Linked DNA regions of Saccharomyces cerevisiae S288C. Changing the gene in region 3 together with the main gene of any one other region gives a genetic interaction. Each region holds a gene or a part of one and is shown on either strand. Other genes may lie near its edges.

The links.
Region 1: mutations in PUN1 (region 3) and CDC19 together harm fitness more than expected from each alone (negative genetic interaction), as found in Saccharomyces cerevisiae (one large-scale study listed by BioGRID).
Region 2: mutations in PUN1 (region 3) and YPS1 together harm fitness more than expected from each alone (negative genetic interaction), as found in Saccharomyces cerevisiae (one large-scale study listed by BioGRID).
Region 4: mutations in PUN1 (region 3) and FRE3 together harm fitness more than expected from each alone (negative genetic interaction), as found in Saccharomyces cerevisiae (one large-scale study listed by BioGRID).

Annotation. Positions count from the first base shown.
Region 1 is NC_001133.9:69,864-73,790, reverse strand, and holds CDC19 (pyruvate kinase CDC19), read right to left. Parts: upstream 2,006-3,927; coding exon 503-2,005; downstream 1-502. Other genes in the region: YAL037C-A (uncharacterized protein), read left to right, coding at 273-365.
Region 2 is NC_001144.5:386,011-390,229, forward strand, and holds YPS1 (aspartyl protease), read right to left. Parts: upstream 2,211-4,219; coding exon 501-2,210; downstream 1-500. Other genes in the region: ESCRT-I subunit protein SRN2, read left to right, coding at 1-165; YPS3 (aspartyl protease), read right to left, coding at 2,734-4,219. UniProt on the Saccharomyces cerevisiae protein: Cleaves proteins C-terminally to mono- and paired-basic residues. Involved in the shedding of a subset of GPI-anchored plasma membrane proteins from the cell surface, including itself, GAS1 and MSB2.
Region 3 is NC_001144.5:952,786-956,106, forward strand, and holds PUN1 (Pun1p), read right to left. Parts: upstream 1,360-3,321; coding exon 568-1,359; downstream 1-567. Other genes in the region: INA1 (Ina1p), read left to right, coding at 1-398; YLR415C (uncharacterized protein), read right to left, coding at 1,474-1,812; ESCRT-II subunit protein VPS36, read left to right, coding at 2,225-3,321. UniProt on the Saccharomyces cerevisiae protein: Contributes to the wild-type cellular response to nitrogen stress through signaling pathways that regulate the expression of genes involved in amino acid biosynthesis. Required for wild-type filamentous growth, cell growth, and cell-cell adhesion.
Region 4 is NC_001147.6:1,053,954-1,058,201, reverse strand, and holds FRE3 (ferric-chelate reductase), read right to left. Parts: upstream 2,658-4,248; coding exon 522-2,657; downstream 1-521. UniProt on the Saccharomyces cerevisiae protein: Siderophore-iron reductase responsible for reducing extracellular iron prior to import. Catalyzes the reductive uptake of Fe(3+) bound to di- and trihydroxamate siderophores.

The DNA.
Region 1 (3,927 bases), on a different chromosome or scaffold from region 3:
AAATTTAGGACACTAATTGAATCTGCCCGCGTCATTTTTTATAAAAAATAGATTAAACCACCAAACGAAGGCCAGAAGCTGAACATAGTTCACTGGCATCTGCATTTATGTACCCATGTATAACCTTCCAAGTTAGTTCTTGGGAAACGAAAATTATATTGAATTTTTTATTGAATTTTTAGCGTATCCTTTCGCCATCCTGATAATCATGATAACCTTGAGGGAAGATTATCTTGCGATGGGAGGGATCAAATTTAGCAAATTTTGACTCTATGTCAATCTCGTTTCCAAAAATGCAACACCTCATCGTTATGACGACAATTGGAGACAAAAAGGTTAACAATAACATAATACTCTTTTTATAGAATACCTTATAAAATGTATGTTATTTAAGTAACTTATAAATCTTTATTTGAGTTGAAAAGAAAAACCATGTCTTTATATAAAATTTAAAAAATATAATTCAAAAAAATAATATCTTCATTCAATCATGATTCTTTTTTTAAACGGTAGAGACTTGCAAAGTGTTGGAGTGACCAGCACCGGCCTTGAAACCTTGGATGGAAACGTAAGTGTCACCCTTCTTCAAGATACCGAATTCCTTAGCCTTTTCAATACCGAAGTTGATACGGGCTTCAACATCATCAGTCCAGTCAGAGACAGGTTCCTTTTCGAAAACGAATGGGAAGACACCTCTGTACAAGTGAGAGAATCTAGCAGCTCTTGGGCATCTGGTAACCAAGATGATTGGACAGTTTGGTCTGTACTTGGAAACCAATCTTGGGGTGGTACCGGAAGTGGACAAGACAATGATAGCCTTGGCCTTTTGTTCGAAAACAGCAGCGACAGCGGAGGCAGCGACGGTTTCGGTGGTGGAGGTTGGCTTTGGAGTACAGTTTCTCATGTCATCGTAGTTTGGCAAGTAAGCGATAGCTTGTTCAGCAATGACAGCGGTTTCAGCCATAGTGGTAACGGCGTTGATTGGGTAGTTACCCTTGGCGGTTTCACCAGACAACATAACACAGTCAGCACCATCCAAGATAGCGTTACCGACATCGGAAACTTCAGCTCTGGTTGGTCTTGGGTTGTAAGTCATGGATTCCAACATTTGGGTAGCACAGATAACTGGCTTACCAGCCAAGTTAGACTTAGCAATCAATTTCTTTTGGACAGCCAAGACTTCTGGGGCTGGGATTTCAATACCCAAGTCACCTCTGGCAACCATAACACCGTCAGTGACCTTCAAGATTTCGTCGAAGTTGTTAACACCTTGTTGGTTTTCAATCTTGACAATGATCTTGACGTCCTTACCTTGTTCACCCAAGACTTCTCTGATGGTCAAAACATCGTTGGCGGTTCTGATGAAAGAAGCGAAGACCATGTGGACACCGTTCTTGACACCGAATCTCAAATCTTCCTTGTCCTTTTCAGACAAAGCTGGCAAATCGACATCGGTACCTGGTAAGTTGACACCCTTGTGGGAACAGATCTTACCGGCGTTCAAAGCCTTGACCTTCAAAGTCTTGTCGTCAACGACTTCCAAAACTTGGAAAGACAAAACACCATCATCAACGTAGATGATTCTACCAGCGGAGATGACCTTGGTGATGTTCTTGTAGTCAACGTACATGATCTTGTCGTCACAAGCCTTAGCGTACTTGTCATCGGTGGTGAAGATCATTTCGTGGTTTGGTGGGATTGGGTAGTCAACATCGTTGGTGGTGGTACCAGTTCTGATTTCTGGACCCTTGGTGTCCAAAGCAATGGCCAATGGTCTACCTGGGTACAATTCTTCGGACTTTCTGGCGTTGTCAATGACAGACTTGTGGTATTCGTAAGAACCGTGAGAGAAGTTCATACGGACAATGTTCAAACCAGCCTTTCTCAAAGCAACCAAGGTTTCTGGGTTGTTGGTCTTTGGACCGATGGTACCAATGATGGAGGTTCTTCTCAAGTCAGAACCAGCAACAACGTTTAATGAGGTCAATCTTTCTAATCTAGACATTGTGATGATGTTTTATTTGTTTTGATTGGTGTCTTGTAAATAGAAACAAGAGAGAATAATAAACAAGTTAAGAATAAAAAACCAAAGGATGAAAAAGAATGAATATGAAAAAGAGTAGAGAATAACTTTGAAAGGGGACCATGATATAACTGGAAAAAAGAGGTTCTTGGAAATGAAAAGTTACCAAAGAGTATTTATAATTCAGAAAAAAAAGCCAACGAATATCGTTTTGATGGCGAGCCTTTTTTTTTTTTTAGGAAGACACTAAAGGTACCTAGCATCATATGGGAAGGAAAGGAAATCACTTGGAAGACATCACAAGCATTCATTTACCAAGAGAAAAAATATGCATTTTAGCTAAGATCCATTGAACAAAGCACTCACTCAACTCAACTGAATGAACGAAAGAAGAAAGAACAGTAGAAAACACTTTGTGACGGTGCGGAACACATTTACGTAGCTATCATGCTGAATTCTACTATGAAAATCTCCCAATCTGTCGATGGCAAAACGACCCACGTGGCAGAGTTGGGTCAAGTGCCAGTTTCTGGATTAAGTAACAGATACAGACATCACACGCCATAGAGGAATCCCGCCGTTGCGAGAGATGGAAAACAATAGAGCCGAAATTGTGGAAGCCCGATGTCTGGGTGTACATTTTTTTTTTTTCTTTCTTTCTCTTTCAATAATCTTTCCTTTTTCCATTTAGCTTGCCGGAAAAACTTTCGGGTAGCGAAAATCTTTCTGCCGGAAAAATTAGCTATTTTTTTCTTCCTTATTATTTTTTTAGTTCTGAAGTTTGACCAGGGCGCTACCCTGACCGTATCACAACCGACGATCCGGGGTCATGGCGGCTATTTTTTTTTTTTTTTTTTTTTTCCTTGTGATTGTTTATTTACATTTGGATCAATTCTAACAAAAAAAAAATAAGGGGGGAAAAATAATTCACCTCTTTTTAATATTGTTTTGTACTGAGATTAATCTCCAAAATACTAGCATTGACACACATCTCAAGTCATCTCAAATAAAGTCGGAAAACCCCCCCTTTCCAAATAATTGAGGTGACGTTGCCATGAACAGGGAAGCAGAATTTGATTCGAAGACTAAGACCAAGCATACCCATTCTCATTTGGTCCTTTCTTTATTTTTACTTCAACTCCCTTAACGTTCGGAGAAAAACTCTGGTTATTCTTCATGCGATATAATTGGCGAAAAAAATCTTGTCTCATACGTAAAAAGTATTAAAAAAATTGCCCATTTTGTGCCCGCAGACAACTGCAACCTATCTTCAAAAGCCGAAAAGGAGGTTTTCTTCTTATTCGCTGGACAGACCCTCTTTTTTGCTGTTGCTTTATTTTTTATGTTTAGAAACAAAATTTCCCCGAGAGAAAGGGAAAATATGTGGAAAAAGAAAAAGCACTTCCTTACCAAACGTCATTCCATCCATGAAATACTTGGCCGATTGAACTTTTCATTTGGTCCAAATATGGAAGTGATAAACGATCTTACTCCAACGTAGATAAAACATTGATAGTAGCCCTAACTGATATTATGGCAAGTCGGCCACACCGCTCATTAGGACAATTCCTTTTTTTCCTTTTTTTTTCTTCTCACTTTTCGGCTATCGGAGCCTTTGATTTAATCGCCGGTGCCTACGTCTTTGGTGTGTATCATATCGGTCTTGAGTCCCATACTACATGCTCTGCTAATAATAGTCATGCAAGTAATAAAGGTAATTTATGGTGAGGGAGGCTTAGGAATATCTAATACTAAGTGCCTAAAACATCAGCAGCAATACAACAATACAACAATGCAACAGGTTCAAAGGAAATAATCAGCAACGCTTTCAAGGGAGCAAGTTGTGGTTTACAACACCTACAATTCTTTCAAGACGTTTGCAACACTGCGACAAAAGTGTGACC
Region 2 (4,219 bases), 570 kb from region 3:
AAACTTGATGAGGAGAGTTCACAGCTAGAAACTACCACAAGGTCCATTGACTCAGCCGATGACCTGGATCAGTTCATCAAAAATTATCTGGACATACGAACACAATATCACTTGAGGAGAGAGAAACTGGCGACCTGGGATAAACAAGGTAATTTGAAATACTAGTTCAGCAGCTACCGCCATTATCAATATGTACGTATATAGACTATACTTTATAGATTATTCTAGATGCCAAACGAATTATTAGAATATTAAAGCCTTTGATTATAGGCCATATCCCAGGTAAATAGTATACTAGGAATGAGAAAAAAAAATGTGAATAAATGGTAACCTATTCTTAGTGGGTAAGATAAACTATTGTGAAGTAAAAATGAAGACCGCCAACGTAACAATAAAAAATTAATAATAAAAAAAAACTTTGCCCAAGCGAGAGCAACGATTTCCGCCAGAAACTCCAACTGGCTTGGAGATGTGAATGTCTAAACTTTGTGCAACGGTTTTCAGATGAATGCAAAAAGAAGAGAAATTAATGTGAGGGGTAAAGATGGAACTATATGATCACCAACATTTCTTTTACTTGATGTAGAAGTGGCGGATGCAGTACTGGTCGTCAGGTTACCGCTAAAGGAAGCAGTTTGTGAGGAATTTACAGTAAATATGTTACCACCGGTAACAATAGATGCACTTGTGGACCAAGTGTTTGTATAGCCTGGTGCCTTTACGGCGCTTGGAACAGAGGATGTAATAATTTCGATATTTTCGCTTGTGGTATTATAGCGAGCTTGTGCCATGGATATTTCAAGATTCTCCAAATCATAAACCACGTACGCGTTAGTCAAAAATGAATCACCCAAAATGGTACCTGTGTCATCACTCGTTGGGATAATACCTAAAAGACATGTAGTGCCAGTACTCAAGATAAAACTCGAAAGTGGTGCATTGATGTGAAAACCACCAAAATCGAACACTATTTCCATACTATCATCAGATGGACAGTCCAATACGTAATACCCTATCCTGGAAGAGTATTGCGCACCTAGTTCAGTAGCGATCATACTTACCACTGTTTGAGGTAAATAAGTCAAAGTAGTACCGGAATCCAACAAAGCAGGTATTTTAGTGGTAGTCAAGGTCTTGTTACTACTCCCAGAATCACTAATACCGATACCATTAATAGTGACATCAAATTGAATGGGAGAGCTAAATCCACTAGCACTCAGAGTGTTTACGATGGGGATTGTGTATAAGGTGCCGGTATATTTACTGTGGTCCACGGCTCCGAACAAAATGGTGCCATGCATAGCGTCCGAGTCGTTCAAATACAAAGAATATGTGTTGCTTTTGATAGCACCAGAATTTTTCAATACAATGGGGAAGTTGTCGTATTTATAAGCTTTTCCACTATGAGACGCAGTAGAGCCAGAATAAGTGACTTCTAATTCGGGCAAACCAATACCTAACACACCCATAGTAGAATTCGTTTCATTGGCAACGGCAAAAGACAACCCGGTAACGTTCAAGTCGCTTAAATCCAAAACATCCGTACCAAAAGTACCGGAGGCAAAAGTCCCATCACCGTAGCTAATACTGAAATAGGTGTTGTTTGATCTAAATGTAGAAGAGCCCGAAGTGGAAAATGTCCCGTATTGTTGACAGTCCATGGTGGCTTCCGAAGCAGGCACGGATTGAGTTGCCGTACCTGAACCGCCTCCTAAGCCCGTAGCAGTGGGGCCAATGGCACTGCCCGTTCCCGTCAACCAGCCAAATGGGTTTATATCATTAATCAAAGATCCGCCGCTTGACGAATCATCACGTTTGTCAATAACACGTCTCCGGCTACTACCCATACTGTTCGAAGAACAGTATGGATTATCCGAGCCCATAATCCATAGATCAGAGGAGCCTGTGTCCACCAGGACCGTTACGTTCTGTGGTGGCGTGCCCACTTCCAAGTCCACCGAATAGAAACTTTGCTGGTTGGTAATTATAATTTCTTCATAACCGTCAGCCCTCTTCAATAGGCGTACTTCCGGTTTTTTGTCGCTTCCCACATTTTCTAGCGAGTCCCCGTAAAGCTTATGAAAGGGCAACTTGACGAACTTGGAATTCGAGTCGTCGTCGCGCTTGTTTGCTGCTGGTATTATCTTACCGAGAACCTGCGATGCAAAGAGTGACGAAAGGACCGCAGATCTTACAGTTTTCAGTTTCATATGTGGTAGGTAATATTATACTATATGCTTGGTGTTCACCTTATCTTTTTATTACGCTATGTATTTTAATATACAGAAAAGCCAATTGCGTTCTTCTTAATAACCGTCCAATTGCGGAAATAGGAACAAATGCAAAAAGAAGGAAAAAAGTAAATCCTCTTTGACACCCTTTTCTTAAGTAGTCGGATTTCCCTGTTTCTCCATAAATAAGTCCACGAATTTTTTTATGAAACCTCAATTTTTTCGGACACATCAGTGAAACGAAAACTACTCATGGCGCAGTATAAAAGGAGCGAAAAGCCACTCAGTTGAGTGGACGAGGGAGGTGAGGTGGTGACAGAAAAGAGGAGGAAGGAGGCAGTGCTATGTGAGGGTGTCTTGGCTGCATGCAAGGTCTGACGATCTAATTGACGCGTCAGAACGTGTGTTTTAGGAATATTCTTATTTAAGTATGCTTTTCCTCTTGAAATCGCGCAAAGAAGGAAAGGAAAAAGTGTCTATATATAGTGTCTATTGTTTTTTTTTACGAAAAGAAAACGGAAAGGATGAGTAAGGAGGGGACTAGCAGTAAACCCAAGGTAGAGCGTATACTGGAAGCGGAGTTGGTAGCAGCCCTCTGGAGTGCCCTCTTGCTTTTATGAGTCGACTTTGCAGTAGTGGTAGAGTTTGTCTTCTTGGTGGTGGTTGACCTCGTAGTGGTGGCAGTACTGGTGCCATTGAAAGTGCGCACGGTGGTAAAAATATTACCACCGGACGTGGCGGAGGCGTAGTTAGACCAAGTGTTGTTGTAACTGGGGGCCCTTATTGCACTGGGAACGGTAGATTTGATGACTTCGACGTTCTCTTTCCCCGTGCCATACTTGGCTTGAGCTAGGGAAATCTCGTAGTTATCCAAATCGTAGACCACGTAGGCGTTTCTCAAGAAGGAATCACCAAGGATAGCGGTGGCGTTGCCCGCTTGTGGAATTATTGCCAAGACACAGGTCCCCACACTGGTCTGCATAGTAAAGTCGGATAGAGGAGCGTTGATACGGAAGCCACCGAAGTCGAAGGCCACGCTGGTTTTGTTGTCGCTCGAGGGACACGTGTACTCATAATAACCCAATGTCTTGGAATACGAGGCATTCAAGCTCTTTGCTAGCAAAGCCACTGCCTGGGAGGGCAGATATGTTAGCGTTGTGCCTGAATCGAGTAGGGCTGGGAGCTTGGTGGTGGTCAATGTGATGTTGCGCTTGTCGGTTTGCAGTCCTAAGCCCTGTAAAGTGACATCGAACGCCACCGGGTGCTGATAACCCTGCGACTTATAAAGATTAACCAACGGGATAGTGTACAGTTGGCCCTCGTACTTGCTGTGATCTACAGCGCCGAAGAGGATGCTGCCGGAGGACTGTGACTCGTCATTTAGGAAAAGAGAGTATGCGGTTGCATCGATGGCTCCAGAATGTTTTAGGAACAGGGGAAAGTTATCATACTCGTAGCTTCTCTTGTCCATAATAGCGACTTTTCCAGAATAGGTGACTTCAAGCGTGGAAAGGCCGATCCCGAGCACACCAAAGGTTGAGTTAGATTCGTTGGCCACGGCAAACGATAGACCACTGAGGTCTAATTCGTTGTACTTTAATTTATCTTGACCAAATGCACCTTCTGCATAGGTTCCGTCACCGTAAGCGGCATAAAAAGGCGAGGACTTGTTGGCTTTGAACGTGGACGACTTGGTCTTGTCGAACACGCCATACTGGTCACAGTCCATCACAGAACCGCAGTAGGGGTTTCCCTTGCCAGGAACCCATAAGTCAGCTGAGCCTGTGTCTAACAGCACAGTGAGGTTTTGTGAAGGTGTACCAATGGCTAGCTCAACAGAATAAAAGCTTTGCTCGTTAGCTAGTACAAATTTTTCATGGCCGTTCGATCTCTTGCTGAGTTCACCATTGTCGCCGTTCTTTTTTTTTGTGAAGGGAATCTTGACGTATTTCCCATCGGGAAGTACTCTACCGAATGCCGGACTAGTT
Region 3 (3,321 bases):
TCTTCTTAATGGTATTCTTGTTGCTACTAAGTAGACGTTCCGTGGTGAGTCAAAAATTATGGTTGGCATTGGGCTTTATTTCCTGTTGGATATGTATTTTCAGCGGGTTGGGAAGCACAATCTTTAGCGTCATCCTTAATATGATGAAATCCGGCTCCAAGAAGGACAATTACGATGTCATTATTTCTGGCTCTTCTCCATTTTATGGCCTAATGTGGTCTGGATTTGTATTTGCCGTCCTTGTATTTCTCTGCATTGCATACTGCTGGTGGAGCAGCAGAAAGGGAGCTGCCATCGTGGAAGCTGAGAAAGCTGTTCAAGAAAGTGACTCTACTACCTCAAGAATCATTGAAGAACACGAAAGCCCCATTGATGCTGAAAAAAACTTTGCAAGGTAAAATAATAAAAAGAAGATCATGCAACATCACCCCGTAAATTTTTTCAATTCTCCATCCTTTTAATTTTCTTCATTATAATTTTCTGAATTGTATATAGACAATATATTTTAATCATATTTAATATGAAACGGAACACAAAAATTAATTAATAACCTTGCCTTTTTCAAATTCAAATCAATGGTTTTTCCTCAATTGGAGCGTTCGCATAGATGACGGTGGGCCTCGATCTCACGCTACACCATAGAATGAAATTCAGTAATGCTCCAACGACAGCCCCCCACATCAAACCCTGGTAGTTCCTACCAATGCTCATTGAAATACCGTAATCACTATAGTTATGCTTTAGGATGTATTTGATGTATGAGTAAGTGCCCAAACACGAACCTATACTGACTAATAGGGCGGCAAAGGCGAAAAATGAAAAAAAGGCACCAAACCACGTTAGCGGCCTTATGTGGATGATCCAGCGCAATACGTTGAACACTAGATTCACAAAGGTCAAGACAATACCAATAAGAATGGTAATGAACATACACTTGACCAAATTGTTGTAGTATGTCATTTTACTTTTTAGTTTTTCGGGCAAAACAACACTGGCCACGGAATCCATAAGCTCCAGAGCCTCATTGTTGTTGATATTGTCATACACTAATGACGATAGGTTAAAATTCTGGATACCGTGAGGCGAAGAACATGATTGGATGTTATGCGAGGAGTCCACTGTACAGTACGACCAAAGCCCTATATTTATATATGAGGGCAGGCCCAACGAAGATAGCGTAGCAGAACTCAAAGAAGGGAGCACCGTCGATACCTTCATCTGCGACAGATCCAATTCTGCACAGTAAATTTTATTTATGGGACTGTAATTTTTCGTTGATCCTGCGCATGCAACAATGGCTAATATAAGTGCTCCTAGCGAAAATATAGCTGCAAAAAATAACGTGAAAAAATTCCTCATGCTTATAGCGTCCTTCGATGATGTGTTTGTTTTTTTCTTAATAGTTCTCTATTGCTTTAATCAAGTTTCACTACTGCGCAGCGTTGTATGATCTTGATCTAGTTTCTTTTAGTTCTACTTCCAAACAACTGGTCCAGAATGAAACACCACTGGACACTCATTGACTACTGAGACATGGAAGAGCAACATTCTCGCGTATATATACTTCTCAGCCAATTTTCCTGCGAGAAGCGCTAAAAATACCGAGCTGGGCTTGGCTGATAGTACGCCCGATTTGGAAATAACGCTCGAGGCGTGCTGCGTCCTTTTTTGCCTGGCCAGGCCAGGCCGGGTTGTCCCGCACCATTCAACGGCGGCTATCTGGCGATGTTGAAAGAGGGGGGGAGTGGAGAGGGCTCTGAGGGTCAAGTGGGAGGCTGTGACAGTTCTCATAAGCTGGGCACTGAGATACATGGAAAGAAATAGGCTGTTCACAGTGTACGTCAATGTGTGGCTGACTAACCGTTAGCGGGGCGGAACCGACATGTCTGGTGCAGTGTATGTAAGAAAAAAAGAATGACAATGCATGGCCAAACTTTTGATCTGTGACGTTCGCAAAACGCACTACTTTGCTTTCTGTATGCAATGGGAATGAGGCGTAGCGACATATTAAGAAGCCTTTTCCATGTGAGGAAGCTTCGCCTTGTTTTCCAGACGCGCTTTTTTTAGGATCAACGAAGAGGAAAAAGGGTTTCACATGTTTCATCTGGAAAAGATGGAGACTGAAAAACAAAAAAGCAGAGAAAAGGTCATCCAAGATAGAATAGGGGACCTCGGCTAGGAATCAGGAAGTGTGTTTTGAAAGTCATTCTTTTTTTTTCAAAAGATGGAGTACTGGCATTATGTGGAAACTACGTCATCGGGCCAACCTCTTCTTCGAGAAGGTGAAAAAGATATCTTTATCGATCAGTCCGTAGGTCTTTACCATGGCAAATCTAAGATTCTACAGCGACAGAGGGGCAGAATCTTTTTAACGTCACAAAGAATTATCTACATCGACGATGCAAAGCCCACTCAGAACTCGCTTGGGTTGGAATTGGACGATCTAGCGTATGTAAACTATTCATCTGGCTTCTTGACCAGATCACCTCGTCTGATCCTGTTTTTCAAGGACCCCTCCAGTAAGGATGAACTTGGTAAAAGTGCGGAAACAGCAAGTGCCGACGTTGTTTCGACGTGGGTCTGCCCCATCTGTATGGTTTCGAACGAAACGCAGGGGGAATTCACTAAAGACACTCTACCTACACCCATTTGTATCAATTGCGGTGTGCCAGCGGACTATGAGCTCACCAAGTCGTCTATAAATTGTTCTAATGCAATCGACCCGAACGCCAACCCACAGAATCAGTTCGGAGTGAACTCTGAGAACATTTGCCCCGCCTGTACTTTTGCTAATCATCCTCAAATAGGAAATTGCGAGATTTGCGGCCACAGATTGCCTAATGCATCCAAAGTACGATCAAAGCTGAACAGGCTAAACTTTCATGATTCTAGGGTCCATATTGAGCTAGAAAAAAATTCACTGGCTAGAAACAAGAGCTCGCACTCGGCATTATCGTCCTCGTCCTCGACAGGATCATCGACAGAATTCGTGCAATTGAGTTTCCGCAAATCTGATGGCGTATTGTTTTCACAAGCTACAGAGAGGGCTTTGGAGAATATACTCACTGAAAAGAATAAGCATATTTTCAATCAGAATGTGGTTTCTGTAAATGGTGTAGACATGAGGAAAGGGGCTAGTTCTCACGAATACAACAATGAGGTGCCATTTATTGAGACTAAATTGAGCAGAATTGGCATATCAAGCTTGGAAAAATCTAGAGAAAACCAGCTTTTGAACAATGACATTCTCTTTAACAATGCGTTGACCGACCTAAACAAGCTAATGTCGCTGGCTACCAGCATCGAAAGACTATACAAAAA
Region 4 (4,248 bases), on a different chromosome or scaffold from region 3:
GATTGAGAGCAAAAAATCTCTCTTTCATTTTATACAGAATTCGGAAAGAAGATGGATATTTCATGAAAATCTGTTGGTAAAAAGTGGATAAAAATTTTGTATTATTAGTATGTTCTTAGTGGTTAGGTGATAACGAAGCGAGAAAAGCAGGGCAAATGGAATAGAATAGCGTGTAGTTGTTAAAATTTTATTTCACTGAGGCTTATATGCTTACTGAGAAATTTTTTTTTTTTACAAAAAACTTCTTTTTATGTTATACCAGCTGTGGATTACCACAACAATTGGAAAGAACATCAATCCAGAAAAAAAATTCAGTTAATTTGGAGGAAGAGAAATTTAAGTCATGGAACAAGAGTGGGAGACAGTTAAAAAATGCTTCCAAAGATTAGTAGATTGAAAAAGTTTGTGAAAGTCGATCAATTGTCTTCATTGCAGCTAGACATAAATTATGTTTCAGGTCAAAACAATTAAATATATACTTGTGATAGGTAAAATAGTGAGGAAATAAATAAGGTAATTGATTACCAACTTTGGTATTCTTCAAAGTATTCGATTGCCTTTGCAGGCTTCTCTAGAACAAGATTTGCCGTTTGATCCCTTACTTCGTCAACGAAAACAGGAGGCCCACAACAAACCACAGCTAACGATCCATTTAGGTCACCAACTTCATGCAGAAGCTTTTCAACATTGGGTCTTCCATGATGAAAAACAGTACCATCAAATTCAACTGGATTAGGTGACTGTTCTAGGGTAGTTGCCATAACAACACCTTTTCCATCGGCCTTCTCGTCTTGTTGAGAAATTTCCAAACTATCATTAGGAGTTAATGCCGGAACTTCCATTGTATTGTAGATGTGAAGCTGTACATTAAGATCTTCTAGACACATCAGCTCCGGCTTGTAAGCCTCGAGTACGTTAAACCCTCTAACTGCAATCACTAATTTTATGAATTGTTTTCCAGTTGCCGCTGACGTTTTTCCAAGTTTAATGGCGTGTGCAATGGGCCCTGGCAAACCAGTACCTCCCGTAAGTAGCAAGACGTTATCATAATTATTGACTGGAGATGAAGAGCCATATGGACCTTCTATAGCTAGTCTCATAGATGCCTTACCTCCATTGCAACACACATACTTTTTGACAAGTTTTGTTACTCCCTTTTTTTCCTTCAGGATAATAGTCAGCTCACCATCTTTGATAATTGAATCTAAGACTGTGAAAGGATGTGACTGCCAAAAATACAGGTGGTGTAGGAATGAAACGAAAACATACTGTCCTGGTTTGGCTTTCCATAGCCTTACTGGTCGTTTGACTGTGACTCGAATGATGTCATCGCCAACTAACTGTAAGGAAGCCTTAGGGAAACCGAAATAAGATACTCTAACAATTCGAATTAGCCTATCAATAGTCCAGATAGCAATAGCAGCGTATATCCACTCAATCCCACTCAATTCTACGACGTGCTCCCAACACGTATAAAAGAACAATGCGCCAAGCACAATATGGAGAAATAAGAAGGCTTCATAGAAAAACTTTCTGAACATTGCCAAAGAAAAAAACACCATAACACCAACTATACAAAGAGCAGCTACTCCAAATTGCCAATATGTCTCTTCCTTGCTTGCTGCCCAATCTTTGTAGAATACGGAATAACTGGTATAAGCAGCGCCATGAATCACAGCATCTAAAAACATCATTCTTCCCAACCACTTATGAAACATTATGAAAGAGGTATATTTTACTCCAGAAATGAATTCTAGAAAATTGTTCCTTCCTGCGAAAAGAGCTATTAGGGGAAAATGTGCAAATGCCAGGACACCACTTCTATCTGCCACGTATCGAGCAATCTGTTCTCTACGAGAGTCGAAAATTAAGTTGTAAGGATCATATTGATACCCGTATGCCAGAAAAACTGTATGAAGCACGAGGTATCCAAGTATAATGACGCCTTCAGATCGTGTGGGAAGGAAGCCTGTAAAAATTTTAAGGTAAGAAAAGCTCGACGCATGTTTACCCCAGATAGTAGGTATTGTCAAATATCTTCTCACATATCTTACAAGTCTTTGTTTAAATAAGGCAGTTTTAAACGGAGTGTAACTTAGATAATGGAGTATGCTGGCAAGAATCATAACACCTACAAAATAGGCGCAAATAATACCACCATAAGTATGACCAATGTCGTAGTTGGCGTAGAAACCATGGTAAGAATAATAATAGTTTTCTCTCACTTGGGCATCCATCTCGATTGGATACGTAAGATTCGCGCTACCTTCAGAATACTGTATTATGTATGTTGTTCCATTATTCAGCATATTATAGAAATCTGCATTAGTCATATTCTGAAGGTTATCAGTGTAATATGCGCAGTCTTCTTTGATAGCAGCAAAGGTTTTTTCAAAGGTTCTATTGGAATAACCCTTTTCATTCAATGATTCGTAAATACAATACAACATTGACTGTAATGCCGGTTCATATGTACATGCTGGTGAGGAATATAAATCGTCACTACTATACTCCCAGGTTACTTCGCCGAGAACTCCCATGCAGGCATCTGTCAAAACCAGTGGTAACTTGCCGTACATTTTTGTCTTAGCAGGGGAGGCGCTTGCTCCTGACAAGCAGCATAACAAAATAGAACCACAAAGGAGGACCCAATACATTGTTTTCCTTGTGTCTTATAATTTTTGAATTGAGAACGTTCATCAGCAATTGAAGTTAATCATTCTCTTGCCACCTTATATAAGTTGCGACGAATCTTTTAATATAAACAATTGATCAAATTCTGTACATCTATGTCAAAGATGAAAGCTTCTGACAGCCAAAAAAAAGAGTCTTTCATCGCCAACGAATCAGTAGCTTTTGTTAGAATTAAGAAGTTTGGCTTTTCGCCAATTCTTTGAGATGAGGTACACCCACATTCCACGTAAAACTCAAATATCGGTCCAGGAAAATTCTCGAGTTCAATCACGTCACCAATAGTAATAATAATTGTGCTTCTCTTGACACTCGCAAGGGACTTATTCTTTACCATTCAAATTTTTCTCCTATTATACACCCGAAATAAAGGCAAAATGAGATATGGGTGCATTTTACAAAAGAGGTTGCAACTATCCCGTTCGCAGTGTAAACTATGATCTAGGGTCAACAAAGCGGTTAATTTGTCATAGTTCTTTGCAGCTTTTAATTCTCTGATATCTTTCCCTCAAAGTGTATTGTTTTCGTAACTTTAGATTTTATCTAAATGTTTCATTTCCGGCGCATTATTAGCAAAAGGGTGCTGTCTCCCTAGCTGCATTCCCAGACCGGAGGCACAGAATTCTGTAGTGATACTCTGTCATTACTTACTGCAGAAAAAGTTAAGTAGCCGCTCAGTACCTCTTAATTGAAATGAAAAATTTTCGTCGCTTATTTCCTGCTTTGTTTTTGAGTACGTTTCCAATCATTTTCTGGCGTACTTCGTGAAAGGGTAAAATTAAAATACTGAAAGCATTCATATGCTGATATAGTGCAGAAAAGCAATGAATGCTAACAACTTCCCGGATATCTGAGCAACTGGATTCGATCAGAAAAGGCACTTTTTACAGACGTACGTCAAAGCTTTTATCTTTTGGCTATCTTCGCCAACTCTATAAAAGGCTGTACTCCTATAATTAACTGATAAATAATTCCCGAATCATACTAGTATTTATTTTCTATGAGTTGTGCTAAACAACGACTTTTTGAAATGCAATATGCTGAAAAAATCACTTTTTAGTCGCAAAGTCAATTTTGGGTGATCGAGGGTTTTATCTTTTTATGCACATGTAATTCTTCCCAAGAAATAGGAATTTCTTCCCAGATGATATTTTCCAACACTGCTTCGTAGTTATAATAATCTTGCAATGCCAACCGTAAAATAGTAACGCATTTCTAGAAGAATTTCGCAATTCATTTTATATTTTTTAATCAAATGAGAAAAAAGTATAACGATTAAAAACTCTCTAACCATGTATTGGAAAAAGATGTTGCAACTTATGTAATATTCCTTGGCAGGGTTTCCGGGGCCTGTGCGCAACTTTAACGCCATTTTATGCAGGCCGAGCATTCTAAGCCTCAAAAAAAGTTGTATCTCCGAACCTGCCAATCTTTACTGTCGTACCAACCAAGGGTATGAAAAAAGCAAATAAGGCCTACAGCTTATTCAGCTTAGTATACTTCATCAGATTTATGATAAAATTTTTTTGCACTGATCCATCATTTTTTTATGGAACT